4 linked regions of the Saccharomyces cerevisiae S288C genome follow. The protein of the gene in region 1 binds, or shares a complex with, the protein of each later gene. Each region holds a gene or a part of one and is shown in the gene's direction. Other genes may lie near its edges. The genes, in order: SNF2, SNF11, SNF5 and SWP82.

Evidence for each region.
Region 2: SNF2 (region 1) and SNF11 share a complex: the UniProt entries of both Saccharomyces cerevisiae proteins name them as parts of the SWI/SNF global transcription activator complex.
Region 3: SNF2 (region 1) and SNF5 share a complex: the UniProt entries of both Saccharomyces cerevisiae proteins name them as parts of the SWI/SNF global transcription activator complex.
Region 4: SNF2 (region 1) and SWP82 share a complex: the UniProt entries of both Saccharomyces cerevisiae proteins name them as parts of the SWI/SNF global transcription activator complex.

What each region holds. Positions count from the first base shown.
Region 1 is NC_001147.6:853,231-863,828, reverse strand, and holds SNF2 (SWI/SNF catalytic subunit SNF2), read left to right. Parts: upstream 1-3,570; coding exon 3,571-8,682; downstream 8,683-10,598. Other genes in the region: YPK9 (putative acid anhydride hydrolase), read right to left, coding at 1-2,654; YOR289W (uncharacterized protein), read right to left, coding at 9,717-10,472. UniProt on the Saccharomyces cerevisiae protein: Involved in transcriptional activation. Catalytic component of the SWI/SNF complex, an ATP-dependent chromatin-remodeling complex, which is required for the positive and negative regulation of gene expression of a large number of genes.
Region 2 is NC_001136.10:587,648-593,552, forward strand, and holds SNF11 (Snf11p), read left to right. Parts: upstream 1-4,791; coding exon 4,792-5,301; downstream 5,302-5,905. Other genes in the region: ubiquitin-specific protease DOA4, read right to left, coding at 1-72; FMP16 (Fmp16p), read right to left, coding at 451-732; PAA1 (polyamine acetyltransferase), read right to left, coding at 1,180-1,755; IPT1 (inositolphosphotransferase), read right to left, coding at 2,114-3,697. UniProt on the Saccharomyces cerevisiae protein: Involved in transcriptional activation. Component of the SWI/SNF complex, an ATP-dependent chromatin remodeling complex, which is required for the positive and negative regulation of gene expression of a large number of genes.
Region 3 is NC_001134.8:776,292-784,703, forward strand, and holds SNF5 (Snf5p), read left to right. Parts: upstream 1-3,375; coding exon 3,376-6,093; downstream 6,094-8,412. Other genes in the region: APE3 (aminopeptidase Y), read left to right, coding at 1-22; YBR287W (uncharacterized protein), read left to right, coding at 280-1,563; APM3 (Apm3p), read right to left, coding at 1,721-3,172; BSD2 (Bsd2p), read left to right, coding at 6,300-7,265; CTP1 (Ctp1p), read right to left, coding at 7,382-8,281; YBR292C (uncharacterized protein), read right to left, coding at 8,411-8,412. UniProt on the Saccharomyces cerevisiae protein: Involved in transcriptional activation. Component of the SWI/SNF complex, an ATP-dependent chromatin-remodeling complex, which is required for the positive and negative regulation of gene expression of a large number of genes.
Region 4 is NC_001138.5:33,140-40,485, forward strand, and holds SWP82 (Swp82p), read left to right. Parts: upstream 1-3,663; coding exon 3,664-5,535; downstream 5,536-7,346. Other genes in the region: putative Mg(2+) transporter ALR2, read right to left, coding at 133-2,709; EMP47 (Emp47p), read right to left, coding at 5,704-7,041; GTPase-activating protein RGD2, read left to right, coding at 7,282-7,346. UniProt on the Saccharomyces cerevisiae protein: Involved in transcriptional activation. Component of the SWI/SNF complex, an ATP-dependent chromatin remodeling complex, which is required for the positive and negative regulation of gene expression of a large number of genes.

The sequences.
Region 1 (10,598 bases):
AATGAATGGAATGCTCGTTTTTGGAAGTCCTCCTCGAATGACCAACCGGTAAATTGAAACATTTTAAAGTCTAGTGGGTCACCGAGTAAATTTCCATCAACTGATCTCAGCGAGTGACATGTTAATAATGACATGAAAAAGTTCCTGGACTTAAAATCTAATGGCGAACTACAATCGTTCAAAGAAAATTTAGGAAATACTTGGCGAATATCACTCAATAGTTCTCCAAACTTCTGGCCTCTAACCCCATTTGGCTCCGATATTTGTACTCCAAGTACATCTAAGCCATCTTCGGTAAGTGTTCCAGTTTTATCAAAACACATAACATCGATTTTACCACTAATGTTAAGCCTTGTTGGAGAGATACAAAATATTCCCTTCTCCTTTAACCTACTCAAAGCAAAATTGGTACCAATGGTTAAAGTCGCGGGCAGAGCTGGTGGCACTACAATTGTTATGATATCTAAAGCTCTTAATATCATTGTCTTTTTGTCTAAACCAAGTTTAATGAACTGAACGCAACTGACGCAAAAACCGAAAATTGCGATTAATGACATGAATCCAATATATTTAAAGGAATCTCTATAGAATTTAAAACCAGTTGGTTTTGGGAAAACCATGGAACGAACCAAGGAGCCCTTTGTTGTTGAGAATCCTGTCCTTACAACCATCGCCAAAGCGGCGGTTTGCCCGGGGGCAATTCTTGCTCTAATTATATTTGTACCATTATACAAGAAGGATTTGGAAACAAAACTCGATATTTGGGTGCTCTGGAAGTCGTCACATAATTGGTACATTGTTTCTTCCGTAGCTGGAAATTTCGAAACGGGCACAGATTCACCAGTTAGCATGGATTCATTGACTATACAATCACTGGACAGAAGAATAGAGTCACAAGGCAATATTGTTATATTTGGGTCAGATACTTCATATATATCGCCCGGAACTAGTTCTGATGAGCTTATCGTTGTCCAAAACTTATCCCTCAAAACACGAACGTCACAATGAAAGTGCGACATTTCAGCTAAGTTTCTCGATACTTTCTTCTGTTCATTCAATGAATCAAAAATAGACAGTACAGAAATCAAAAAAATGCATGCGGCGTAGTAGTAGTATTCATCAATGCCCCACAAAATTATCGAAAATACTTGAAAGACATAAAACGGATGCAACACTTCATTGAATAAAATTTCTGAAGTAGTTTTCATTCTCAAATTAATTTGATTTTTACCAAACGCAAGTTCTCTATCTTCTTGAACCCCCTTAGTTAAACCATTTGATACGGTACTTAAATCCACCCAGTCAGGATCTATCCAGTTATTGTTAGTTTTAAAGAGATCATCGAGCGGTGAATATATGAACTTAATATATCTGTATTCAAATGTGATCAAGATAGGCACATTTGGATTAATTTCATTGGCATGGTGGTGGCTCAAATTGATATCATTTGGTTCATATGACGGATTAGGGTAATTTTCAAAAGGTAAAACAGTACTTAATGGTCTATTATACCACTGTCGATCGATAGGTTGTATGACAAACTCACCAAACTCATTTTCTATCACGACCCATTCTGCTTTAGCCAATGGCACTTTCACGCCATATAATTTAACTTTGAGATGGGGAAGCCATCTCGTTAAAAGATAAACTAATCCGAAAGTCAAGAAGCAGCACAGGTTGTAAATAATATACCAGAATTTTGAGGTCTGGTAAGCAGCGATACCAATAACTAAATCCTCTTCCGCAATGTAAAACCTTTGGTAATGCAAGTTTGGTGCATACTGTGGATAAAACTTTTCATGATAGTCAGGTTTTAGATATTCGCTATGCTGATTATGAACATCATCATGACCAGAAAAGCTTCCTCTATTATTTTCGCTTGCAGATCGCCTACTATCTGAAGATTCTAAAGAATGTGTAGAAGACTCGTCTTCTAGTATTTCATCTGTTTGACTTTCTAGTTCAATAGGAATTCTTTCTCTGGTCGTATATCTCGATAAACTGGATGATGAATGTGTAGCGGAATGATAAACGAACCCAGTGTCAGAATTTTCTCCCAGCCTTTGTGGTGCCCTTGAACCAGAGCGACCCCTCTTACTGAAAGATCCATAAGACTTTGCATTTGAGAGAGATGATGCTCTGGAAAAACTTCGAATAGAAGAACGCCTGGAAGATAGGCCCGTACCATAGATTCTATCTTGTTCATAAGCGGGGGTGGCATCCCAGGCCATGTCATAATCTGTATTTTCTAACGTGGAAGCGCCTTCAGCATTGGATATTTGCTCCTGAGTGAAAAATCGAAAATGAGAAGGGTTTCTAGAAGAGCTTCGAGACTGTTCAGCCGAGGATAATACTAAAGGCTCTGATTCAGTCAATCGGCGGCCTCTCTGCTCTAGGTTCCCTGAAGAATGCGGACTTGGGAGGTTGCTTGATTGAAAAGAATGAGGGTGATGGAATGATACAATAGAACTTGGCACGGCTTCGAATGTTGCACCTGCGTACGGTTCCGAATTGTTCTGATCCAGTACCATCGCGGAAGTCAATGTGGCCGCCGTAGAAGTAGTGGCTGTAGAAGAAAAAGAAGCCCTCGGCATTCTTCGGTTCCTTTCACTCCTTTGGCCATGTTGAATTTGGTTTGAAGAGGGAATATCCATTACCGGAGTATATGCAAGATCTATCAGTAAGTCTGGGCTCCTTTTTATTTTAAAGAAGAATCTATTGACTCTGAACTATTTTCAATCAAAAATAAATTCACAAGTCCAACACCTCCAACTCTATGGTATTGCGTTCTCTTTTTGCCCTTTTTTCCTTTTTTTCTTTTTTTCACTACTCTTTCCTTGATTTCCATTTTTTTTCATTTTTCACTCTTCTATCACCTCTTCATACCCATACCCCCTGTTGGCCGCGGCTGCCCTAAATACACACATATATATATATAAAACAAACAAGGCATTTTTCAAATTAATAAAACTAATAAAAAAAGCTATAGAGCCTTTTCTTAGAACACAGTGTTGAAATATTCGCTTTTTTCTTTTTATTGAAACTCCTTCACTTCCAAAAAGACACGATTCTTAATGGCTATTCTGAGTGAACATAAGGACACTAAGAACTAACAAGTAATTGAAAAAAAAAGAAGAAGACATGATGAAGAAGAATTAGTGAGCAAAATACAGTTGAAGTTCCTAACGCTTATTTTCCTTGCAGATTAATTCCAATACATTCGCCACTATTGGAATTTTGCAGGTAGCCAATTTTCGCGTATATATACTAGGTTTAGGAAAAATAGCCGCCGGTAAAAATAGTGATAGGCTGTTACCCGAATACCGTTGTTCGCGATATGTTAAAACCGCGTTTGAAAGACAAATATCAACAAATTGATTGACGAAACGGGGCCATCCTGAGGCGGTAGGACAATAAGTTAAAAGAAAGGTTACCTCTAGTCTCAATAAAGAAGATATTTGTGACGTACGTGGACCTTTTGTATATAAATCATCGGGAAGGTCAGCTATTCTGTTGTTTCTCTAATCGCGACTTTCTGCTATTTTCACGACTTTCGATTAATTATCTGCCATGAACATACCACAGCGTCAATTTAGCAACGAAGAGGTCAACCGCTGCTATTTAAGATGGCAGCATTTGAGAAATGAACACGGAATGAACGCTCCGAGTGTGCCGGAATTTATCTATTTGACTAAAGTGTTGCAATTTGCTGCCAAGCAGCGACAAGAATTACAAATGCAACGCCAACAGCAAGGCATTTCAGGTTCTCAGCAAAATATTGTTCCAAATTCTTCAGATCAAGCAGAACTGCCGAATAATGCTTCCTCGCACATTTCTGCTTCTGCTTCCCCGCATTTAGCTCCGAATATGCAATTGAATGGAAATGAGACCTTTAGCACTTCTGCTCATCAATCACCAATCATGCAAACACAGATGCCATTAAATAGCAATGGTGGTAATAACATGCTACCACAACGGCAATCTTCGGTTGGTTCATTAAATGCAACTAATTTTTCACCAACACCAGCAAACAATGGAGAAAATGCTGCGGAGAAACCAGATAACTCAAACCATAATAACTTAAACCTTAATAATTCCGAGCTTCAACCGCAAAATCGATCATTACAAGAACACAACATACAGGATTCAAATGTGATGCCAGGTTCGCAGATAAATTCTCCTATGCCCCAGCAGGCGCAGATGCAGCAGGCACAATTCCAAGCACAACAGGCGCAACAAGCGCAACAGGCACAACAGGCACAACAAGCACAAGCGAGACTGCAACAGGGGAGAAGATTACCCATGACAATGTTTACTGCCGAGCAATCCGAACTGTTAAAGGCCCAAATCACATCTCTAAAATGTCTAGTAAATAGAAAGCCTATTCCGTTTGAATTTCAGGCTGTTATCCAAAAATCTATTAACCATCCTCCAGATTTCAAAAGAATGTTACTGTCTTTGAGTGAGTTTGCGAGAAGAAGACAACCCACAGATCAAAATAACCAATCAAATCTCAATGGCGGCAACAATACGCAGCAACCCGGCACCAATTCCCACTACAATAACACTAACACTGACAACGTTTCTGGGCTTACCAGAAATGCACCTTTAGATAGCAAAGACGAAAATTTTGCATCTGTTTCACCAGCTGGTCCATCTAGTGTACATAATGCGAAGAATGGCACCCTCGATAAAAATTCGCAAACTGTAAGTGGCACTCCAATCACGCAAACAGAATCGAAAAAAGAGGAAAACGAAACCATTTCAAACGTAGCTAAAACAGCTCCTAATAGTAATAAGACCCACACCGAGCAAAATAACCCGCCAAAACCGCAGAAACCCGTTCCTTTAAACGTCCTTCAAGATCAATATAAGGAAGGAATAAAAGTGGTAGATATAGATGATCCTGATATGATGGTTGATTCTTTTACGATGCCCAATATCTCACATAGTAATATCGATTATCAGACTTTATTGGCCAATTCGGATCATGCAAAGTTTACTATTGAACCTGGCGTTCTACCGGTTGGTATTGACACACATACCGCTACTGACATTTACCAAACTTTAATTGCATTGAACCTAGATACTACGGTAAATGACTGTTTGGATAAGCTACTAAATGACGAATGTACGGAATCAACCAGGGAAAATGCTCTTTACGATTACTACGCCTTACAATTATTACCGTTACAAAAAGCCGTAAGAGGTCATGTATTACAATTTGAATGGCATCAAAATTCTTTATTAACCAATACACATCCAAATTTTCTTTCGAAAATAAGAAACATCAACGTTCAAGATGCATTGCTAACAAACCAACTTTATAAGAATCATGAATTACTTAAGTTAGAAAGGAAGAAGACTGAGGCAGTGGCCAGATTAAAGTCGATGAATAAATCCGCCATCAATCAATATAATAGAAGACAAGATAAAAAGAATAAAAGGTTGAAGTTTGGCCATAGACTCATTGCTACGCATACTAATTTAGAAAGGGATGAGCAAAAGAGAGCTGAAAAAAAGGCAAAAGAACGTTTACAGGCTTTAAAGGCGAACGATGAGGAAGCCTATATAAAATTATTAGACCAAACCAAAGATACAAGAATTACACATCTTCTAAGGCAAACAAACGCATTTTTAGATTCTTTAACAAGAGCCGTGAAAGATCAACAAAAGTACACTAAAGAAATGATTGATTCCCACATAAAGGAAGCATCGGAGGAAGTGGATGATTTGTCCATGGTCCCCAAGATGAAGGATGAAGAATATGATGACGACGACGACAATTCTAACGTCGATTATTACAATGTCGCACATAGAATTAAAGAAGATATCAAGAAGCAGCCTTCAATATTGGTTGGTGGTACCTTAAAGGACTATCAAATCAAGGGTTTACAGTGGATGGTTTCGCTTTTCAATAATCATTTAAATGGTATTTTAGCAGACGAAATGGGTCTTGGTAAGACTATCCAGACGATATCCTTACTTACATATTTATATGAAATGAAGAATATTCGTGGGCCATATTTAGTCATTGTTCCTTTATCTACACTGTCAAATTGGAGCAGTGAATTCGCGAAATGGGCTCCTACCTTAAGAACTATATCATTTAAAGGTTCGCCAAATGAGAGGAAAGCCAAACAGGCTAAAATAAGGGCAGGTGAATTTGATGTAGTTCTGACTACCTTTGAGTATATTATTAAAGAAAGAGCACTTTTATCCAAGGTCAAGTGGGTCCATATGATTATTGATGAAGGCCATAGAATGAAAAATGCGCAATCCAAGCTTTCTTTAACCTTGAACACACATTACCATGCAGATTATAGATTAATTTTGACAGGTACACCACTTCAAAACAACTTGCCAGAATTATGGGCCTTATTGAATTTTGTGTTACCCAAGATTTTCAATTCCGTGAAATCTTTTGATGAATGGTTCAATACACCCTTTGCCAACACCGGTGGGCAAGATAAAATTGAGTTGAGTGAAGAAGAGACGCTTTTGGTTATCAGGAGATTGCATAAAGTCTTGAGACCCTTTTTATTGCGTCGTTTGAAAAAGGATGTAGAAAAAGAATTACCGGATAAAGTTGAGAAGGTAGTGAAGTGCAAAATGAGCGCTTTACAACAAATTATGTACCAACAAATGTTGAAATATCGTCGTCTTTTTATCGGTGATCAAAATAATAAGAAAATGGTAGGTTTAAGAGGTTTCAATAATCAAATCATGCAACTAAAGAAAATCTGTAATCATCCTTTTGTATTTGAAGAAGTTGAGGACCAAATCAATCCAACAAGAGAAACGAATGATGATATTTGGCGTGTTGCTGGTAAATTTGAACTATTAGATAGAATTTTGCCTAAGCTTAAGGCAACTGGGCATAGAGTATTAATTTTTTTTCAAATGACCCAAATTATGGATATTATGGAAGATTTTTTAAGGTACATTAATATCAAGTACCTGAGGTTAGATGGTCATACAAAATCTGATGAACGTAGTGAGTTGTTACGTCTATTTAACGCCCCTGATTCTGAATACTTGTGCTTTATCTTATCAACTAGAGCGGGTGGTTTGGGTTTAAATTTACAAACTGCAGACACTGTCATTATTTTTGATACTGACTGGAATCCTCATCAAGATTTGCAAGCTCAGGATAGAGCGCATAGAATAGGTCAGAAGAATGAAGTTAGAATTCTAAGATTGATTACTACGAATTCAGTTGAAGAAGTTATCCTAGAGAGAGCCTACAAGAAGCTAGATATCGATGGTAAAGTCATTCAAGCAGGTAAATTCGATAACAAATCTACATCGGAGGAACAAGAAGCGTTGCTTAGATCTTTGCTGGATGCAGAAGAGGAACGTAGAAAGAAAAGAGAGTCTGGTGTTGAAGAAGAAGAGGAGTTAAAAGACTCAGAAATCAACGAAATTCTTGCTCGAAATGACGAAGAAATGGCTGTTCTTACAAGGATGGATGAAGATAGATCAAAGAAGGAGGAAGAATTGGGAGTAAAGAGCCGTCTCTTAGAAAAGAGTGAATTACCTGATATTTACAGTAGAGATATTGGTGCCGAGCTCAAACGTGAAGAATCAGAATCTGCTGCTGTTTACAATGGAAGGGGTGCAAGAGAACGTAAGACGGCAACTTACAACGATAATATGTCTGAAGAACAGTGGTTAAGACAATTTGAAGTTAGCGATGATGAAAAAAATGACAAGCAGGCAAGAAAACAACGAACAAAGAAGGAAGATAAGAGCGAGGCGATTGATGGGAATGGAGAAATTAAAGGCGAAAACATTGACGCTGATAATGACGGTCCTAGAATTAATAATATATCGGCCGAAGATCGGGCAGATACGGATTTGGCAATGAATGACGATGATTTCTTGTCTAAAAAGAGAAAGGCAGGAAGGCCCCGTGGAAGACCTAAGAAAGTGAAACTTGAAGGATCTGAAAATTCTGAACCACCAGCGCTTGAATCAAGTCCAGTTACTGGCGATAACTCTCCCAGTGAGGATTTTATGGACATTCCAAAACCACGTACAGCGGGAAAAACATCTGTTAAATCAGCAAGAACTTCAACAAGGGGCCGTGGTCGCGGTCGTGGTCGTGGTCGAGGGCGAGGACGTGGACGAGGAAGGCCGCCAAAAGCAAGAAATGGGCTTGATTATGTCCGCACGCCCGCTGCGGCAACGAGTCCTATTGATATTAGAGAGAAAGTTGCTAAACAAGCTCTAGACTTATACCACTTTGCTCTCAATTATGAAAATGAAGCTGGAAGGAAACTTTCTGACATTTTCCTCTCCAAACCTTCCAAAGCACTATATCCCGACTACTATATGATTATTAAGTACCCTGTCGCCTTTGATAATATTAACACGCATATTGAAACGCTAGCTTACAACTCCCTTAAAGAGACCCTTCAAGACTTTCATCTGATATTTTCCAATGCTAGGATATACAATACTGAGGGTTCAGTAGTATACGAAGACTCTTTAGAACTGGAAAAAGTGGTTACGAAGAAATACTGTGAGATAATGGGCGATAACTCACAACTCGACTTTACTGAATTTGATGAACAGTATGGCACCAGACCCCTCGTCTTGCCTCCTGTTGTTACTTCAAGCGTGGCTGAATCTTTCACAGATGAAGCGGACTCGAGCATGACAGAAGCGAGTGTATAGTACCTTCCTAAAGCAATATAAGTACTTATTCGTTTATACGTAGACAAACATTAATCCCTCTTTTTTTTATTGTACCCATTAACCGAGTTGGGATGTTTAATATCTCTAGTATAACGTGCCGTATATTTCCTATATATATATATATATATATTTATATATATTAGATTTTAAGTTAATTGTTCAACTAATTGATCGATTTCGCCTCTTATAATTCTGCTATACATATTTATTTTAAACCATCTCTTTGAACAAAGTAATATGTCGTCATCATAGTGAACTTGTTCTTGGACCTAATTATAAATTTTCCAATACGGAACAAATTATTTGTTCCAACACCCTGCTAGCAACACAGGGCAATATATATAAAGAAGATATATCTACTACTTCTTTTCCTTGAGTATATGTCTTTAATAGATATTTCATGTATTTGATTCATCTTTAATGGAAATACTCGGAGATTATATACAGGTCCGAGATGGCCTTAAAGATATTTCCCACAAATGTATTTACCACTCATTAGAAATGAGTTTCTGTTGTATTACGGGCTCGAGTAATACCGGAGTGTCTTGACAATCCTAATATAACAGTCTTAGGGAAGTAACCAGTTGTCAAAACAGTTTATCAGATTAATTCACGGAATGTTACTTATCTTATATATTATATAAAATATGAATCATACTAAGTGGTGGAAGCGCGGAATCTCGGATCTAAACTAATTGTTCAGGCATTTATACTTTTGGGTAGTTCAGCTAAGGAAGGACGGGTTTTGTCTCATGTTGTTCGCTTTGTTATAAGGTTGTTTCATATGTGTTTTATGAACGTTCAGGATGACGTATTGTCATACTGACATATCTCATTTTGAGATACAACAGTTTCAACAGTCATCAGGGCACATGGCGCAGTTGGTAGCGCGCTTCCCTTGCAAGGAAGAGGTCATCGGTTCGATTCCGGTTGCGTCCAATTTTTAAGCTTGATCAATGTATAAAAGCATATTTTTTTTAATGTTTCTAAGACTAACTAACGAGGGTTATTTTCTAAGCCTCTATATCTTTTAACTGTTTGTTAAATTCCTCATAAGTTATGGAACTTTTTTTGCCCTCGTACCTTATTACTTCAATGAAATAAGTTTCAAAATTATCCATTACTTCACTAATATTGCCCCAGTAACCCGCCTTCTCGATTAAATTGGCAAAGGTATCTTCTTTATTCCAATGTTGCTCAGGCATAACATCAGGTAAAAAGGTTGCGCTACATGTGGTGCCTGTTTTGGGATGCTTAAAATACAGTTCAATACCGTGCTTTCCGAGTTCCCAATCGAAAATGTCCCCATTTGGATTACCACCACCTCGAAAAATAGTTTTGAAGTTGCCTAAGATGTTGCAACTGCATTTCAGGTCCACCAATTCCCTTTTCTGGATCGGAGAAAATCTCCTATCCTCTAAAGCAGCAATCAAGGAATATTTCTCAATACCATGTGCAATCGGCATCTTAGCAAATGTACCGATACATCCTCTAAGTATATAATTCTCTTCGTTAGTGTCTATTGTGTGATGTTTATTGGACTTTTTCTTCCAAGTTATGAACAACGAAGTTTTCTCATTGTAATCTATTTTAAAGTCGGGGTATAGCCTTCTTCTAATATCTTCTAAAGAAAGGCTGCTCGATTTCCCCGGATTCAAGTGCGAATAAAGTTGATAAAATGCGTAAAACGCAAATGGCGATGAACCTTTAGGGCCTTCCATTGATATCTTTGCAAAAAAACTGGATTTTCGAAATAGCCTTAAAGCCATTACTATCGCACAAGCCAAAAACCATCTTTTCAAAGGATCTTATCTGGATACAAATTGACGCAAATTTCTCTTTATATTCCTCCTTTGTCGCCCAGTGTCATGTGCTTATCCCTTGAAAAAAGGGCC
Region 2 (5,905 bases), on another chromosome or scaffold:
TGCTATCGTAAGGTACTTCGACCGGTGACGAATACACTCATCCCTTATGGTACTAATAATATTCTGCTCCATAACTTAAGCATGTATCAAATAGTAAAAAAAACTTTGGAAGCGTGCACACTCAGTCTTAAATCTGCCCTATACTACCGAAGATAAATACATGAACTACACGTATCATATAACATCATATCCTTTTTTTTTTTTTTTTTTTTTTTTCTAGGCTTTTACTAATACAAGGGCCTTAGCCATTCGCTAAACGTAATGAACGATATTGAAGCAAATGAAGTAAAACAATGTGGAAAGCAAATAAATAATGGTTATAGTTTTGCACTTATATAGATATCAATAAATGATATGATATGACTAAATACGATAGGACCAGGGGGGAAGGAATATAGATATGTGTATGACAGAAACTACATGCATATACGAGTTTGTACCAAGTGCTTCTTAATAAACACCGTCATCTGGCCTGTTTTGTTCGATTCTAGCGTCATCTCCCTTTTTTTTCAAATCTTCCATTCCAGGTTGCTTATAATCTGGATTCTTGCCGTGTTCCAAAGTGTCCAACCTCTTCTTGTTGCTATCAAACAAACCCTGTTCTTTTTTCTCAGCTTCATCTTGATTGTTCTTTAGGTGAGGAAAGGCGGCCCTAGTGACGATTGAGAAAGACGCCCTTGGCGATTTACGCATCAATTGTCTTGGAGTGCGCAAAAAAGTGGTTCTCAACATTATCAAATATATTCCTGTGTATTATATATGTGATACTGCGGTCTGGCTTCAACTGCTGTTGGAGTATTGTAGGAACAAGTATTCAAGGCCAAAAAAAACTAAGAGCCAACTCAAAGGCCATATCTACCTAATCAAATCTTGGGACCTTTATATACTTATGTGCTTTTACGGTTCCCTTAGATTCTGTACAGGAAGAAGGGGTTGATACAGGAACAAACCCTTTACAGTAAAGGTATCCTTAAAAAAAAAGGAAGGTAGTACGTATATCTCTCCAAGAACTGAAAAGAACCCAATCACCGGAATTAAGCAGTGATATCTCAGTACGGTCAAGGATGTAGGGTAGCACCAGTAGTAATGATTTTAATTATACTTGGCAATTTTAAAATATACAAAAATTATATGTAGTATTTATAATTAGACATTTGTAAAGTGCGTTAAACTAATGATCTAGTTGTCGTATTCTTCCTTAATTAGTTCTCTCTCCATATCGATCCATTTCTGTTCTGCGAAGTTTTTGTCCTTAGCAACATTGGTGTTCTCAGCAATGATCTTGAAACCAACTCTTTCATAAAATGGTATCAATGGCTCGTGAGCAATAAGGACAATTTTGTTACCAATTTCCTGATTACTCAATTTCTGAATGTAGTCAGTTAAAAGTAAAGTAGCCAGGTTTTTTTTCTGGTATTCTGGCTTGATTACTACAGAGTGAATACCAATATGATTACTCGATTCCACTTGTAATTTGCCCATGCTTTCGATAGTAATGTATTCATGAGGTATCTTAGTACCCATAATATGACCAATTAGTGTCTCCTTTTTAACTTCTTTGCCCTCGATCTCTCTGATGAAAAGACCTGAACATAGCTCTGGACAATTGATCAAACGAAAGCTGATAATTTCTTCTGAAGCTCTTTCGTTTGGTGGGAAACCTTGGCTTTCCAAGTTCAAAATCTGCTTTAAATCTTCAATGATTAAGGGTCTAATATACATATGAAGCGGTAGCGTGCTACTTGAGGAGGCCATTTTAACTTTTTATTTAATCGTAATGTATTGGTGTTATTTTTTCTCCGAGAAAAGTATTCTGATGTCCAATTCTTCTTAATCTAGTTTGTTGTAAATTTTTCTTACAAACACTTGCTCCCGCTTCTTGTCCAGTGGGATGTTCGTCGTTCTTCCATTGCTTTTCCATTTTTGCCCGTTCAAAACTATTCTTTTTATGAATTGACAGAAAACCAAAAGCAAGCCGATTTCAGGTTAACCCTTTATTAAAATAAAAAAAAAAAGCATGCATAACACTAATAATATATTATTAAAAAAAAAGCCAATCTATATTATTTAAATTATCCGAAATTACTTTTATTACATTATGACATTCTATAGTCTATGCAAGCGGATCAAAAAACCATTCCATCTTGGTGCCACAAAATACTCTCATGCCAAAAGTGCGAGCTTCGTTTCTTGTATCCACTTTGTCGCCTAACCTTATATGAATCCACTTTTTTAAAACTTTTGGTTGTAAAACAAACCAGTTTATGATGATGAAACTTGTCATTGCATATAAAACACCAACGAAAAGGTCAAATCTATAATGGTGGTCCAGATACATGGTAGCCCACCATTGTAGTATTATATATAGGATAGCCCAGAATTTTGGTATAAACCCATCGTTGACTATTTTAAAAATCCATTTGTTTGTGAAGTTCGTGTCTTCATCATATAAATGGACAAACTGGAGAGGTTTCTTATTGCCATTGCTGTTAATAATGCTGCCGTCGCCGCCGCCGGTGCTTCTTTCATTACTGGATACGGTGAATGAAGATGAAGGGGAGGAGGACCGCTCATTTGAAATATCTACAGGCTCAACGGTACCCAATGGTTCCATCTCTAAGTCGTTAGGGCCAATCGTGGGCGGTATGCTATTGTCACCTTCATCTTCGCTGTCTTCCTCACTCAACTTGAAAGTGGAAGAATCATTATTGTGCATTGTGAAACCTCCAGCATTGGAAAATCTGTGTTTTAAGCTGGTGGACCTTGAAACCAAAAACAAGAAACATTGAAATGCAATGGCGGAGTGTAGTGAAGGAACAGCACCAAACACAATAGGAGACATGTGAAATCCTTTAGTGTTCAAATGAGTACCCAAATGGCTATCTACTCTTATCAAACCGGCAGCAAACCCTTCCTGGGTGTAATTAACATGTTCGGTGTCATCAATACCGTACAGATGAGTAAACCATGGGGAGGCCATTGGAACAAGCAGATGGGTAAGGACCCCCGCTATATTTTGTAATCCTAGGGCAAAACTAAAGCATTTTAAAGTCCCCGGTGGTTGGAAGACGTATAAGTATACAGCTGTTAAAATTGGAGCTGTCAAGTGCAGGATGACATAGGAGAACCAAGCCAGTAAATCCTTGGTCTTAGTAAAGTTTGCATCCGACTGGTAAGCAAAGAAATGATCAATGTTGAGTATAACAAATGTAAACAGGGGCAAGGCAAACGGTATGAAAATTGTCCGAAATCTCTTTTGGATCGGCCGCTGCTTGCGCTTGCAGGGGTAATGAAAAATATTTGCGAACCACTCTAACAGATTATAGTTAACGTGCTTAATGTAATAGATGTAGTACCAAATGGCAAAGGGAATACATATCAGAAATACTAAGAGAAATGCAGAAGATGATATGAATGACCAGAAAAATAGCTTCGAAGTATTATCGGGCAATTGTACAGTAAGTTCATGCCAATAGTCCCCAAAGAGGAATTGATCAGCAAAAAAAGCAAACTTGCTATGAATGTCAGGTCTGAGCCTTATGGGTATCAGACCAGCGCGCTTGAATATAGACAGCCAAATAAACACTGGCGCAAAATTAAGCATGAAGTTGAACGGCAGGCTTATTAGATTACGTTGGTTCAAACTTGCATTATACATGTTTTTGACGAAACTCGCCAAAGAAAATATGACATTCATGCTTTCTTAGACGTTGAAAGACTTTAGGTGATTCTTAGCAGAAATGATAACGTCCAACCGGTGAAATAAAGGAACAGTTAGGGTGGCAATGAAAAAGTAGCGATGCTTATGAAAACACTATGCCTTAGGTTTCCTTTTTTTATTTTTATTTGACAAGTAGCGATTACTCTTCTATTGTTCCTGGTTTTTGATGCTCGAATGTATTATATAAAAATGTTGTGGCCGGAGGTCTGCATTTCTAGGCATTTTTCCTTTTTCTTATTTTTTTTACTTTCCTACTAACTTTGCACTTCGTAAGAGAATTTACACCAGAACTCTCGATTGAGGCGAAGAAGGCGGAGAAAAAAGCCGGTAAAAAAAAAAAGCGGAATCAATCAGCACAATCAGAGGCGTCAAGAAGCGGCGCGGGGATAATGCTTTTTTCCCGTGGCGTTCACATTTTTGTTCCGCGGAAAGCACGTGAGCGTAATCCACTCGGGAAGGGCGCAGCTGCCGTGGCCAACTGAAGTAATCTTTAGCCGTTTATCGCCGCGCAAAACGGCAATTGCACTTGAGACCCCAACGGCGCTGTGCAGCAGGGTATTCTACTACGTGTTAGCTTGCCTTGCATTTCCCCATGCGTCTCGAATAGGAATTATTCAAGATGGATTATTGGCATTTACGAGTAACCAAGGATAACCCCGCTGTGCGGTGAAACCACCCTCTTTTCACGTTTCTTCAAGGCCAGTGCAAACGCGAATAAACATATCTACGCTATATATAGATATGACGTTTCTCAAGCCAACAGAAGTAGATAAAGCAGCCAGGAGGGTAGAGAGTGTTCAAATTATAGCAAGCCTTCTTCTACCTGTTTTTTTTTGATGATTGTTTTGCCGGGTAACAATCGACTTTCGGGCAAATTTTTTTTCCTTTTTTCTCCTAACAGTATATACGGAGTGGAGAACAGACTTCCCATAAAAGCATATTACGTGGGGTCGTAGTAAGATTGCCGTTTATGATACCCTCTATTCAGGGCTCAGAGCGCATCACGATCGGGAGTGTAAATTCAATGTGCATATAAGCAAAACACACAGATTTCCTTTTTTCCCAGAAAAATGAGCAGTGAAATTGCCTACTCGAATACGAACACCAACACTGAAAACGAGAACCGCAATACTGGCGCTGGCGTAGATGTAAATACAAATGCAAATGCAAATGCAAATGCAACTGCAAATGCAACTGCAAATGCAACTGCAAATGCAACTGCAGAGCTGAACCTCCCCACGGTCGATGAGCAAAGACAGTATAAGGTACAACTGCTATTGCATATCAACAGCATATTACTTGCTAGAGTTATTCAGATGAATAATAGTTTACAAAACAATCTACAGAACAATATAAATAATAGCAATAACAATAACATCATCAGGATACAGCAACTTATATCTCAGTTCCTTAAAAGGGTTCATGCCAATCTTCAATGCATATCTCAGATAAACCAAGGAGTGCCCTCAGCGAAACCACTGATCCTCACGCCTCCTCAGCTAGCCAACCAGCAGCAACCTCCACAGGATATTCTTTCTAAACTCTATCTTCTCTTGGCAAGAGTGTTCGAGATATGGTAGAATAACTTTGTTTCTCTTCCCTTTTTTATTTTGTTTTTTTTTTTTTACTTTTGCAATTTTAATTTTGCATTCAGCTACAGGTGTGATTGCATACCCGCAGAGCAAGTACAGGAAGCATAAGAAAAATAGAATACGAAAAGCAGAAAAAGAAAGGCAAATAACAATCACTCAAGTACTACAACTGCATGAATTTATCGTATGTAATGTACCCAACGTAAATAATAATATTAGTATTTTAAAATCTATGACATCAGATGTAGTTATCTTACTGCCAGCCCTATTAATACTACTTTCTTATTATCTTCTTCGAGAGCCACCTTCGTCATCGTCGCAGTAAGCATTGTCATCTTCATCATGCACGTCGGTAACGGAAGCCTAATCTCAATATCTACTAGTTTACTCTACGCCATTTGGAGCGTAGCCCCTTCTCCTTTTGACTCTCTGACTTTTCCCTCCCCTCCTTCTCTTCTGGCCTAGCCTAACCTAGTCTAGCCTCGCTGGACCCCCTCCTTCCAACGGTCAACCCCTTCCTTTCTATTCTCTTCTCGTTCTCTACGTAAGGAACTTGTAAAAGAAAAAATTTGGTGCCATACAGGGAAATCGG
Region 3 (8,412 bases), on another chromosome or scaffold:
GGCCGACTTCTTGATTATTTAAGTGTACTGTTCACATCAAGTATTTCTGTATAATTATCTAAAAGAAAATAAAAACCCTCTTTTTTTTAACTGCACGTGCATCAAGGGGATCACAGCCTCCTTATCAAAGTGAAAAAAAGGTAGAAAAAAAAACTGAAATTGTGATATAAAAGTTTAAACAGGAAATTATTGTAAATTGAACAATATGTGTGAAGCCCGTTTTTGGTTTGTTATTCCCAACTAACCATACCCTCATAGATTACTCTGCATTTCTACTATATGGTTGAAACATTTAGTTTTGCTCATTTGGCTTATTTGGTCTTTGAGTCCGTTTTACAGGTAGTCATTATCGCACTCGCTGGTTTTTGGAGCGCTAGTTCTGGTCTGCTGCCCAAACAAAGTCAAAAAATCATTTCTCTGTTGAACGTGGACCTTTTTACACCATGTCTTATTTTTAGTAAGTTGGCCAAATCCCTGTCCATGGCCAAAATCTTTGAAATAGCCATCATTCCTATTTTTTTTGGTTTGACTACTGGTATTTCATTTATTTCCGGAAAGATAATGAGCCGTATCCTAGACTTGGATAAAGATGAAACTAATTTTGTGGTGGCAAACTCTGTCTTTGGTAACAGTAACTCTCTACCTGTGTCCTTGACATTATCTTTGGCTTACACTCTGCCCAACTTAACTTGGGACCAAATTCCTAATGATAACAGAGATAACGTTGCATCAAGGGGTATTTTATACTTGCTGATCTTTCAACAAATCGGACAAATGCTGAGGTGGAGCTGGGGTTACAATAAGCTAATGAAGTGGTCTGGAGAGAACACTCAGCATATGCCACCTTCTCAAGTGCAATCTTTGTTGGAAAGGACGCCCAACATTGATAACGAGGAACTTGTCAATGAGGAACAAGAGGAACAAGAATTGCTTGAAGAAGAAAATAACAGAATGAACTCATCTTTTTTGAGTTCGAGTTCCATCGGTGATAAGATTTGGCAAAAATCATGCACTGTATTTGAGAGAATCAGAGCGAACCTTAATCCTCCGTTATATTCCATGATTTTTGCTGTTGTTGTGGCAGCAATTGGTCCGTTGCAGAGAGAGCTATTTATGGAAGATGGGTTTATCAATAACACATTTGCCGAGGCTGTTACGCAGCTGGGTTCAGTTTCTATCCCACTGATCCTGGTTGTCCTCGGTTCTAACTTATATCCTTCTGCGGAAGTCTTCCCTAAGACGGTTCACCATAGCAAGTTATTGATCGGCTCCATCATCGGAAGAATGATTTTACCTTCTTGCTTCCTTTTGCCTATTATTGCTATTGCTGTTAAGTACATAAACGTGAGTATTTTGGACGATCCAATTTTCCTTGTTGTCGGTTTTCTTTTGACTGTTTCCCCTCCTGCCATTCAATTAACTCAAATCACTCAACTGAATGAATTTTTCGAGGCAGAAATGGCCGATATTCTATTTTGGGGGTACGCTGTCTTAAGTTTGCCTGTAAGTATTATTGTTGTCTCAGGTGCAATTTACGTTTTACAGTGGGCTAACCCAACTTAATACAACTTTTCATTCCTTTGTATAGAGTCTTCATGAATGAAAGTCTTATTCATTTTTTTTTTTTTTTAGCATAGTTTTATATTCCTTTTTTATTCCAAGACTTATATTCTCATTATATTCTATTTAGTTTCGCATGGAATTTCAAGTACACATATAACTACAGCCTTACTTGAAAATTGCCTGTCTGGGTCTTATACTTTGCACCCTTGTACAGCTTTGTATTTTTGCCAATTGTTAATCCAGATACAATATCGATGGCTTCTACATAGATTCCACTGGCCGATTGTCCTATGTAAGAATATTCTAAGGAGACTGTTTGTAAATCAACTTTTTTTGTAAAATTTGGCCCAGTATTTTCATACTCAATACAGCCACGTAGTACAGGTACCGTTCCAGTGGCAGTTGATTTATCAAAAATCCATTGTCCTTGACCCATGATAATGCTATTTTCAAAACGGCCATGAGTATTGCGCAATATTTTTATCTTATATGCTATTTCATTTGGATCAGCATTCTCAACATTGAACTGTAAATCTATTTTTAGGTCATCAACTTGTGAAACTTTTTTGAAATTTTCAATATTTAAGGATAACTCAAATTCATCAGAATCTTTACCCAATCCATTTTGGAAGTGTAAAGACATCAAGCCAATAGAATTCATCCTTACTCCGGATTGCTTTACTTGAGAACTTAAATCGACGGAATACTCCAGCAATCTGAACTTCCCATCTGGTGGTATAAACGTTATATTAGAGGGAGAAAACACACCATCATTGATTTCAACACAGTCATGCAAACTGGGTATACCTATATCATTTCCCATAGTGTTTAATTTTACTGCAACTAGAGGATTATCATTCAAATAAGATCTCACGTCCACTATTCCATGGATACTTCCAGTGAGCAACCTTAGATGTGATTTTTTCTTTTCAAATACAACATGGAATGTTTCTAACAAATCCACATAAAGCTCATTATTCTCATGTTTGCTAGCCCTTGAAGTTCTCCAGGGAACAATCTCTTCATTTTCGATTAGTGAATTACTACCACGAGAAATCTGATTTTGTTGTAGCTGCTGTTGCCTTTGTTGTGGGAGTTGCACAGCCTGCTGTAAATTATGGGCTGTAGAACTTATGAACTTCGATAAATCCGATCTTTCAGGAACAGCTTCTTTAATTTTATTAACATAGAGCATATCACTCACATTTGGTTCACCCGCTTCGACGCAACAGTTAAAAATCAAACTGATTCTATCATAATTATTAACAATTTTCTTGATACTTAATTTATCCTTGTCAAAATATTCTAACAGGATACGATCTATAGTCTCTAAAAAGGTAAAACAATCAAGCGGGCCTTTTGACTTCGAAGTGGAGGCTAAGCACCAATAATTGAGCTTATTTATAACTGAGAAATACTTATAGACCTCTAAATCTCTTCCAACCATTGAATGGTCTAAATAATCATCACTACTGCTATCTTCGAGCAATTGAGGACATGTGGACTGAACGCGGGTCCACAGGTGCTTGAAGGAGGGAGCTGTTGCACCTAAAAGATACTGGAAAATAAGTTTGTTCTTTGTATCAGTGATATAGAATGACAAATACATCTATTTTGGTTGGGTTGGTAAGGTTTACAGCCTCTGTTGTTGCCCAAGTCCTGTTATCGCCAACTTTAAATAAATCTCTTCTTGTTCTTTGACCAAAAATTTCATTTTTCGTCGCATTTAAAAGAAACTGAAATTTCAAACATAAACACCAAAACAAAGCATCATCAAGGGAACATATAGTAAAGAACTACACAAAAGCAACAATGAATAATCAGCCGCAGGGTACCAACAGCGTTCCAAATAGTATTGGAAATATATTTAGCAACATTGGAACTCCATCTTTTAACATGGCGCAAATTCCGCAACAGCTGTATCAGAGCCTCACACCACAACAATTGCAGATGATTCAGCAACGACACCAACAGTTACTGAGGAGTCGTCTACAACAACAACAACAACAACAACAACAAACTTCACCGCCACCGCAAACGCATCAATCTCCACCCCCTCCTCCGCAACAATCTCAACCCATTGCTAATCAATCAGCGACTTCTACCCCTCCTCCTCCTCCAGCACCACACAACTTACATCCCCAAATTGGTCAAGTGCCCTTAGCTCCAGCGCCTATTAATTTGCCTCCACAAATTGCTCAGTTACCTTTGGCTACACAGCAACAAGTTTTGAACAAGTTGAGGCAGCAGGCCATAGCAAAAAATAATCCACAGGTTGTGAATGCAATTACTGTTGCACAACAACAAGTGCAACGCCAAATTGAGCAGCAAAAGGGACAGCAAACGGCACAAACTCAGCTAGAACAGCAGAGGCAATTGCTGGTTCAGCAGCAACAGCAGCAGCAACTTAGAAACCAAATACAGCGACAACAGCAACAACAGTTTAGGCATCATGTGCAAATACAACAGCAGCAACAAAAGCAACAACAACAGCAGCAGCAGCATCAGCAACAACAACAACAACAACAGCAACAGCAGCAACAGCAACAGCAACAGCAGCAGCAACAACAACAGCAACAACAACAACAACAGCAGCAGCAGCAGCAGCAGCAGCAAGGACAAATACCGCAATCTCAGCAAGTTCCTCAAGTTAGATCCATGAGTGGACAACCTCCCACCAATGTTCAGCCAACTATTGGCCAACTTCCTCAACTTCCAAAATTAAACTTACCCAAGTACCAAACTATTCAATACGATCCACCAGAAACCAAGCTACCATATCCAACCTATTGGTCAGACAAAAAAGCAGATACGGATACTTTGTTGTACGAACAAATTATCCAGCGTGATAAAATTAACAAATATTCGCTAATAAGAGAAACCAATGGTTACGATCCGTTTAGCATTTATGGATTTAGTAATAAAGAGTATATTAGTAGACTGTGGCATACACTGAAGTATTATCAAGATTTGAAGAACACTAGAATGAAATCTATCACAAGCACTTCTCAGAAGATTCCTTCGGCAAGTATTTGGGGAAATGGTTACTCAGGGTATGGTAATGGGATTACGAATACAACTACCAGAGTTATTCCACAAGTAGAAGTTGGAAATAGGAAGCATTACCTAGAGGATAAATTAAAAGTCTATAAACAGGCCATGAATGAGACATCGGAACAGTTAGTTCCCATAAGATTGGAGTTCGATCAAGATCGTGACAGATTCTTCCTCAGGGACACTTTGTTATGGAACAAAAATGACAAGCTTATTAAAATTGAAGACTTTGTGGACGACATGTTGCGAGATTACCGATTTGAGGACGCTACGAGAGAGCAACACATTGATACTATTTGTCAATCTATACAAGAGCAGATTCAGGAGTTTCAAGGAAATCCATATATAGAGTTGAATCAGGACCGTCTAGGCGGTGATGACTTGAGAATTAGAATCAAGCTGGATATTGTCGTGGGACAAAACCAGTTAATCGATCAATTTGAGTGGGACATCTCTAATAGTGATAACTGTCCAGAAGAGTTTGCAGAGTCCATGTGTCAAGAATTAGAACTACCAGGTGAGTTTGTGACTGCCATTGCTCACTCCATAAGAGAGCAAGTTCATATGTATCATAAATCACTGGCACTGTTAGGTTACAATTTTGATGGATCAGCGATAGAAGATGATGACATTAGAAGCAGAATGCTCCCAACGATTACTCTTGATGATGTTTATAGGCCTGCAGCGGAAAGCAAAATTTTTACTCCAAACCTATTACAGATTTCAGCTGCAGAGTTAGAGAGATTGGATAAAGATAAGGACAGAGACACAAGAAGGAAAAGAAGACAAGGTAGATCTAATAGACGTGGTATGCTCGCATTGTCCGGCACATCTGCAAGTAATACATCTATGAACGGCGTTCACAACACAGTAGCAGCAGGAAATGCTTCATCGTTGCCACCAGGAGAGATTTTACTGCCAGATATTGCAGATATTCCAAGAACTTTCAGGACTCCAGTACCTAGCACTTTAATGCCTGGTGGTGTTGACGTAGGCCCTTCTGTGGAATCGTACGAATTGAGAAACACAACCACTTATAAAAGCAGGCCAGATAGACCTAAGCCAGTTTCACCTCCTTGTTATATTATTGACCATATTCCGGGTCATTCGCTACTACTTTCTATTAAACTGCCTGGGAAAGTTAATACAAAAGAAGAGTTCGCAGCAGCGCCCAATGACACAAGTAGTGGCACCAATGCAATGCTTCCGAGTCCAGAATCGCTGAAAACTAAGCTGAATAGTAACATTCGCGCTGGTGTGACGATACCTTCAATCCCAAACCCGATTGCCAATCACACTGTTACTAATTCACCCAATCCCACACTGCAGCCAGTAATCCCAGGTGGGGCAGCTAGTAAATCGGTACCTACACCTAGTCTTCCTATAGCACCTCCAGTAGCACCACATGATAGCGAAGCGACATTGTTGACTAATAGCAATAATGGTAGCAGTAACAATAACACACAGAATACATAGAAAATATATACACATATATAAAATATACCGGAGATGTAAATAACCGTGGAAGAATTTGTATTATCATCGTGTTATACGATGCGGAGTCCCTTTGCGCCTACTTTTTTTAGAAGAATAGTACATAACCTTTATAAAAATCTTCCAATTTAGATACATAAAAAGAGCATGAGAATAACAAGAACACGTAGTCTAGGAAACTAAGCGCTATGCCAGAGCAAGAACTACTTATAGGGCAAGAAATGAATACACTTCATGCAGGTTCATCTACTGATGGCATAAATGTCGGAAACGCAGGACGAACTAGAGACACACAAACTGGCGTAGAAGGGGAAACGGAAATAGGGTCTGACGAGGAAGATAGCATAGAGGACGAGGGAAGCAGCAGTGGAGGAAATAGTACGACAGAAAGACTAGTACCACACCAGCTGAGGGAACAAGCAGCCAGACATATAGGAAAAATAGGAAGACATTTTAATATTCTTGATAGACTTTTTAAGAAACGTACACAACAGTCTTCGGATATACAACAAGGTGCCATGTTTGATGGTGTCTTTAGCAATTTAAGCGCAAAACCAGATACCACAGAGACTGAAGGTAATAACGAACAAGACATACCACCTACATACGACGAAGCTGCTGCTGATATGGCCCCCTCGTATTATGGAATGGATTTGAACAATTCAGATATCTACTACGACGAAATATGCATTGAGGGGCTTCCTGTAGGAAATATAGCAAATTTATTATGGAATATCATCGTAAGCACGAGTTTTCAGTTCATTGGATTTTTAATAACCTACATTTTACACACATCTCACGCAGCAAAGCAAGGTTCAAGGTTTGGATTAGGGTTAACGTTCATTGGATATGGTTATTCAATGATTCCCAATGATGTTACTTCAAAAGTCGGCAAAAATAAAAGCTTAAATAGAATGGAATTAGAGGATCCAAATGAATTCGATGATGTTCGTCTAAATTCACAATCAACGACACAAGATAAATTTGAATCACATTTGAATCACGGTCTGGATGAAGAAAAACAAAACATACCATGGTTGGCTGTTTTTGTGGCATTTCTTGGGCTATTTATCACCCTGAAGAGTATATACGACTACATTCAAGTCAAAAAATTGGAAAAGAAATACCTCAACCAAAGTCAAAATCAAGCATAAGCCATCTTCTTCATTATGATAAAAAGAGATATATAACTTTTTTAAGTGATCGGCTGGTAAATAGACTTATAACGAGTAGAAAACATTAGATGATATATTGTACACAATAATACATTTCAGGCTAGCATAACTAAGACCTTTTCATAGATAGTGAAAACAATACCACCACTCAAGACCAATCTCCCAAGTCTAGGCGTAGCACCTTTCCAAAACGTCTTTAACCCTTCTTCTTTGAAAATGGTTGCAAAACAATTCATTGTAGAGGAGTATTTGGTGGAATCCAAACTTTGCATTCTTGTTTTCACAGTATCAAGGGGCATGGTGGAATAGACCGTCACAATACCACTAAATGCACCCACTAAGAAGGTTAACCCGGATGATAAAGGTTTGTCTTTTGGCGAATCCGTATAATCTTGGATCAAGGTCTTAATCTTATTGTAACAACCCAATCTAACGGCTTGGTTTGCGGCCTGTCTCATGGAAACTGGCAAAACACCACGATAAAGACCAGAAAATCCTTTATCACGGACTAATGATGAATAGTTTCGTACTACACCGCGCCCATTATTATGGTATTTTGGTGTAGCAGATTGTTTATCATCGATCAAAGCAGTTTTGATTGCTTCAAAAGGAGTCACTGCGGCAACACTTTCTAATAGTCCCGCACCTAACCCAGCTATCACCCCTCTTGTACCACTTAGTTCTCCAGTTTCACTATCTCTTAGCATGTCTTTAATGGTATCAAAGCCAAGAAATCTAATACCCGCCTTAGCGGTGTTTCCAATAATAAATGCGGGACATCCGACATAAATGGAACCAATGCCCTGAGTTTTTGCAGTTTTATATATCAATACCAGAGGATTTCTTGATGCCTTGGAGGCCTTATCAATCAGCTGCAGCCTTGTTTTGGCAAACTCAAAAGGATATGTTATACATGCTTCAGCAGCACCGGCTAGGGACCCTGCCAGAAACGAGTGCAATGGATCTACGTCACTTTTGGTAGCTTTACTGGACATCGGTAAAATGCTAATTTATAATTCAAGCTCTACTTTGGAGTTCTTTCATTGTGACATCAAAATGTTTTTAATTTTACGTTGGCTTCGACATTTTACGTTTTATATATCACGCTAAAGTGAGACTAAATTTC
Region 4 (7,346 bases), on another chromosome or scaffold:
GCCCTCATATCAAAAAAATGCTTTAAAAGCAGTCAACCAATGTGCCAAAAATTTTCAAAATTCAGGAACTTGTTGTTCGGCAGACTTTTATTCTGCCTGCTAAAGATCTGCCGACCTACCATAGCGGTCATGTTAATTGTAACGGCTATATCTACTGGGTAGACTGACAGTTGATTTCCTTCGAACGCCAACTCTCGCATTGCCATTTTTAGAATCATCGTTAAATCTTTTATCTCTTTTCGGTAAAAAACTAGATATGACTGATTTGGCCCCACTACCTGCGGCTTCGTTGAGCGTTGCAGGTGGGTCTATTTTTTTGATCCAATAGCTAGCTAAAAACCAGCTTATGACAGCTAGTAAAAGCAGTACCCCCAAAATTCCATACCACCACGCAATACTTCCATTTCTTCCTGGAACTTTTACATTCATACCGAACAGACCAGTAATAACATTTAATGGAACTAACATTGTACCTAACATAGTAACTTTACCCAACATTTCTGTAACTTTATTATTAGAGTTAAATGATTCCACTTGTAATTGGGCCAGGTAGTTTGCATGTGATCTAGAAAAAATCTTTTCGTACGCCAATAAATTTTGAAACATCGTCAACAAATGATCCTGAATATCACCTAAGTATAAAGCAATATCTCCCCTTGGTTGTGATGTTGTTTGCATATAGCTATTTGATAAGCTTATTTGGTTATTACTATTATTCTGGTTCACATTCTCTTGTTCCGCTTGTAAGTTCACCATGTTAGTTTGAGATTTAAGCACTGGCCCAATACCATTAGTTTCATCTTGACATCTTTTGGCGAACATTTTGATAACATCTGCTTTACCGCTCAAGAGTCTCATCAGCGTCATTGTCTTACGCCTACTTTCACCAATCCTTTGTAACATGGCTGCAAAATCCATATCACGGGTCATAAACACTGAATCATCAATCGAATCAGCTTCATACTCGATGGATTGAATAACCGGAGCAAAACTATCTGTGATATCATCGATTAAAGCATAACATAACCAATCTGAATTGACACTGACATAGTCACGTAATTGTCTTACACGTCTTCTTACATTGGCACAGTGTGATATTGGGTCAAAATGAAAAGTCAAGACACCTGACCTAAAAACAACGATGTAAACATTTATAGGTTCAAGATAATTCTCCGATTCTTTATCATTTTCAAATGTATGGAAACAGACAAAGTAATAGGATTTGAAAAGCTCTACCTTTTCACGCGTTTCTTGCATCCTGATATCTTCCGCGGTCAAAGGATGGATTCCAAATGTTTTTGCTATGCAACGCATTTCATCATCAGTTGGACAACTGCAATCCAACCACCACGTTGGATCGCCTCCCTTGAATAACTCATAAAACGTCTGTCCCTCGGATATCAAAGAAGGGATATCACTAGCATGCACAGTTTCATCAGATTCAGAGCGGAAGAACGAAAATCTACTAGGAATTTGATATTCTGTATTTTGGAGGGTATAATACGCCCGGCTATAACTCGAATCATTTCCTTCTTTTTCACCTTCAATCTTATTTCTACCAAATGTTACGTCAGGGTGTAGATCAGGTTTATCATCTTCCCTCACAGATTCATTGTTTTCAGATACGTACATCTCATTAACGCTGCAATTTTTTTCAAGAGTCCGTGAAATTTCAGGTGTATATTTCAGAGCTGCTGAGGATCCTGAAGTGGAAGCAGAGTTAGTAAATCCAGTATCTTGGTCGGTATGATTGTATGTTCGTTCACTGTGCCTTTGATGGTTCGCCAAAGACAGATTTCTTTCAGCATTTGAAATCTGGGCATATTCTTCCAACTCATCAAAATCAACACCATTAACTCTTGTATGTAATAGTCGAAACATTGGAAAACAAACGTCTTCTTCTGTTTCTTGAGAATCCCTGGATGCTTGCGATATCTCACTATGGAAAGATACCCTGCTATCCATACGTAACGGTTTAATTCTTCGTGTGTCATTTCCCATATCGGACTTTTGCGATGCAGTTCTTGTCAACAACGTTGTAGGATTGACTGATGAATGTGTCGATATTGTAGAATAGGTTCTTCTCTTAAGTTTCGCCTGTTTGGGATGCGTACCATGCTCTGATTCAGCCGATGTTTCAAAGATTGCGCTAACTAGCGAAGCCTTACGAGCGCTTGTAAAAGTTCTTGCCGAGGAGGAGGCTTCTAAGTTGCATCTGTTACTTGACGTACCGGCAGGTAACGCCGTATCATGGCCTCTCTCTAAAGCCGCATTCTTTGGCAAAGAGGGAGCGATGCTCTCTACATGAATCTGCTTTTGGTGAGTTTCAGACTTTGCTAGCCTGGATGGCCTCGCATTAGAACTTAAAAGCGCGAAAGATCTTAACTGGTAACGTTTCACTGCTTCTGCTTCTGCTTCACCTTCAAAATCCATGCGGCCACTTGTGGATATATTCGTTTTCTCCACATAGCCTCCATTTTCCACTCCACTATTCTCCCCGTTAGAGGAACTAAATTTGTGTCTAGAATCTTTCGTTTCGTCCACTTTCAATGCAAGCGCTTCGTGACGTATTGGTTGTGCATCAGAATACTGCCTATAGTTCTCTAATTTTGGGTACTTGCCTGTCTTCATGGAAGCCGCCGTATTGTCAACGGATTTTGACCTTGGTAAATCTGACGATGAATCAAATGAAGTGGATAAGGACGACATTACGAAGTTTTTTCACGTTTTCTCATAAAAATTCAGTACTTCTATAAAGGTGATTAAAATATATTCCTGTCGATTTTTTTATCCAACTGACAGTACATTTCCATGTAAGTAATTGTTTAGCAATAGTAGTCTCTACCGTCCTTGCTGAACATTGAATAGAGGAAATAAACGCTGTTGATTTTACCTTTCCACTTTTATAATATAAACCTCTACGTTAAAATATCATATGCTCGAGGAAAACCTGATTTCTCTGGAAGCAGCCACTTTCGTGAACAGCCAAACCAAATGCTGCATTTTTCGAAGAAAATTTTTATCTCAAGGAGTCGCTTTTGTAACTTATAGCCGGTCAGGCAGTAAAAACGTACCTGAAAGAATAGTTTGATAGTAGGATATGGACAACGGTTAGTTTTGTCTGTACTTCTTGTATACAGGGCCTCTGTCAAATGAATGTGCGTATAAATTAATGGAGGTCTTGCATAGTTTGTTGAAACTTGGAAGAACTGTCAACCTTCACATATATGATATCCACGGTCTAAGCACGAAGGGCACTTCTTGTTTCTCACATTTAGGCAACTACGATGTGGGAAGTACAGCTCAGTTACGGAATCTAGCACGTAGGAAGAATAAGCGATAAGTGTTCCCTTCAACACATCCATAAAGGAGTTTAGCAGCTGATATATTTGTCGTATCTAAAAAAATTTTCAGAGTATTATGACCTCGTCAAGTACAACGGAAATATATCCTGACATGGAAAGATTAGCCGTTCAGAAAGTGGCCCTGTGCATTAAATATAGTTGTAGTTTCAGCCGTCTATATTTTTTTTTCGAACCATCACTTTTCCCTTTCTGGACTTTTCTCAATGTAAAAACAAGAAAAACATGGAATGTATAATACTATAAATAAAAAAAGTAGGAAGAAGAACCAAAACAAAGGGCGTTTTAAAGAGAGACGAATATGCTTGGCGAAGATGAAGGGAATACCGTTCTTGAAAAGGGAAATAATCCTTCTGTAAAACAAGGAGAGGTTGGAGCTGTATTTATAGTACCCAAAATACTTATCAGAGAACATGAAAGAGTGATACTTAAGCAAATTCTGCAAATCCTGGATCAAGATGAATTGGTTCAACCTCCCTTAGACAAATTTCCCTACAAAAAATTAGAATTACCGAAATATATAGATGAACTTAAGACGAGAGACGCTACTAATACATCCTACAAGATGATACAATTGGATGCTTATGGTGAGAAAAAAGTGGGTTCGAACGGTGAATTATTTGGCGGTAGACATTATTTGTTCAACACCTTCACATTCACGGCTCATATGGGTGTTCTTCTGGTACTTTTACAAGATGTCATTAAAGTGTTATACCAAAGCAACGCAACGCATGACGAGGACGAGTTTATTGTCCAGCATGATCAAATTCTGGTAATGGAAACTTCTGAGGAACAAACAAAATTTTTGGCCAAAAATGGTGTCATTCCTGAAGAATCCAAAGGATCTTTTAAGTATATAACTGCCAGGTCAGCCTTTGTTGAATTCGGTGCTTCTGTTATTGCCGGTGGTCAACGCATCGTTGATGATTATTGGGAATCTTTAGCTAAAAAGCAAAATTTGTCGTCTCACCAAAGGGTTTTCAAATTATCAACAAATTTAATTTCTAAAATCTCACTTTTACGCCCCTCCTTCCAAAATAACAGGATTAGCAATGCCAATGAAATTAGTGCGAACACTAATAATACCTGTACGATTTCTACTTCAAAATTCGAATCACAGTATCCAATAGTCACGGAACAACCGTCAGCGGAGATTAGAGAAGCCTATATTGAAAACTTTGCCAAAGGTGAGCACATTTCGGCAATTGTTCCTGGTCAAAGCATTAGTGGAACATTGGAACTCAGTGCACAATTTAGAGTACCGCGTTATCACAGCAAAAACTCATTTCAACAAGCTCTGCAAATGAAGGCAATGGACATACCAATCGGAAGACATGAAGAATTACTTGCGCAATATGAAAGTCAAGCTCCTGATGGTTCCGCTTCAATTTCACTTCCTAACCATATTCCATCTGTCAATCCTAGCAATAAACCAATCAAACGAATGCTAAGTAGCATTCTTGATATTAACGTTTCCTCATCAAAAAACAAGAAGTCTGAGGAGAACGAAATGATAAAACCCATGAACAAGGGCCAACACAAAAATAATACATCGTTAAACATAAACGGCTGGAAATTTGAATCTTTGCCATTAAAATCCGCCGAGAATTCAGGTAAACAGCAATATTATAGAGGATTGCCGTTATATGAAAAAAACACGCTGCTAGAAAGGTTGAAACAGCTGACACCGAACGAAATTAAAGAACTAGAGCATTTACACGATGCCGTTTTTGTTAATACCGGTTTGCAGAACGTTAGAAAAGTTAGGACAAAAAAATGGAAAAAGTACTGGCAGTACAAGGCAGGTATTCCTATCGGTTTGAAACGGTCTCAATTGGATGAATTCAAAAATAAATATTTGAAAGATGTGTTGGCGCAAACGAGTGTTACTACAAATTTTAACGAAATAACGAATACGGATGAAACAATAACAACAAAGAGGGTACCGAACCCAAACTTCCTAGGAAATTGTAACATTAAGGATTTTAAACCTCCATACATTTATTCTCATGTGAACAAAGTACCACAAAATGTCGCTGGGGATAAAACGGCTGTTAAGCTGGACACTGAAGTAAAGAACACAAATGCTAATCCAGTGGTGGCGACGGATCCGGTCGCCGCTAAACCGGACAACCTGGCTAACTTCAGCAACGAAGTAGCTATGAATAATTGAAAGAAGTAAAACATAATGTAGGGAACACTCCAATAAGAAATAAACCATTGTTGAAGTAGTAATATAAACTATCGTTCGTTATTTTATAAAATATGTATTGTTACATATATATACATATATAGGGAATGCATGTGCACAATTGGTTTGAGTGGAAGGAATAATCCAAAATCATAGCAGTTTGGTCTTTATGATCTCTTGTCTGATTCTGAATGTGTAATATGCCATAACCAACATAATGAAAATTAATGGAAGTAACCAAATCATTAGTTTTCTGGCAATTTCGTCGACCTGAGGACCATCTTGTCCATGACGTTTGGTAGCTTCCCTATACTTTTCTTGTTCAACCAGGACTTTCTCCAATTTCTGATTGATTGATAAGAAGTCTTTGAAATTTTCTTTATCCTCAGCGATTGCATCATCGGTGGACGTTCCCTTTTCATTATTAGCTGGTGGCTTAGAAGAGAGCTGTTTAGTTATCGTAGTCATGAATGATAATAGCTCTTGTTGGACCTTAATGACATCATTTAGCTTTGTTTCTAAAGCATTGATATCGTTCGCAAGAATTTTACCTTCAACTCTATCCAGTTTCTTATACAATTCATAGTTTGTAATTTTGTCTTTGTCAGCGTCAAATGCTGTTTTTTCAATCAATTTTTCTTTGCCGGTTTGTTGGTCAATGTATTTGGTGATCAGTTTTGGCTGACCCATTGCATTCACATTAGGGATCAAAGAATCTTCAATCACGCCATTAAAAAATTGCATTTTGAATATTTCAAAAGACTCTGCATTATTATTCACTGCTCCATTTTGAGCGGTGACACCAATACGGTAAGACCCAGAGGGAAAGCGAACCTTCCTAGTTTGGAAACAGACTTTATTGTCCACCTGAACTTTTAATAAGTTGTCGTCTTCCAAATCATAAGTTACTCTGATCGTGGAAGGAACGGAGGAATCCTGATAACCCATCAAACAAGATGCAAAACTCTGATCATAGATTTTCGTCTTATCTACAGGCTTTTGACCATCATTTAGTTGACCACGAAGTGTTGGGCCCAATGGACCATTGTTATCCACTAATAATTGTAAACCATCATAGTTCACTGGCCCATTGTATAACTGCTTATCGCGTGGTACGTTAGAATCTTGAACAAACCAAAATGATATGCCACCGTCGGTTTGGCCAGAATAACCAACACTCCTAAATGTCCACTCCATAGTAAAAGAATCCTTCAAATCGAATCCTTGCTTCAACCAAAGTGAACCCTTGGAATTTTGCTTAGAAGTCAATACAATTCTCCCTTCCTCTAGACTAGCTTGTTCTCCAGTTTGCCAGTTATTGGGCACTTTACGTGCATTAATGAGATCAGGGAGCGAGTAGTCTGAGCTTAATTTGGATGCATCTGAAGTGTCACCCAATGGATGAGCTTCTAGCAATCCAGCCCATGTCGCTAAGACGGTAAAAACACTCAACAGTACTGTACTTTTCATAGTAATTAACATCATCATAAAATACAAATTCCCTGATGCTAACTATTTGTTAATTTTATTGGTATAATTATAATTATTCAATACCAATTAAGGCTTCTATTAAAAGATCAAAAACATTCTTAAGAGTTCATACTGTTTCTCTACTCGTGTATAGTGATACCAAGACGTAATGACAATAATAGATGGAAATTGAAATATTATGAAACAGGAATAATATTCCGTTGAATTGTAATAGATGTTGTACACCTGCAAGCGAGCATGCTATCATTTTGCGACTATTTTTGGTCTGAAGACCTTGTCTCAGGTCTAGATGTGCTTTTTGA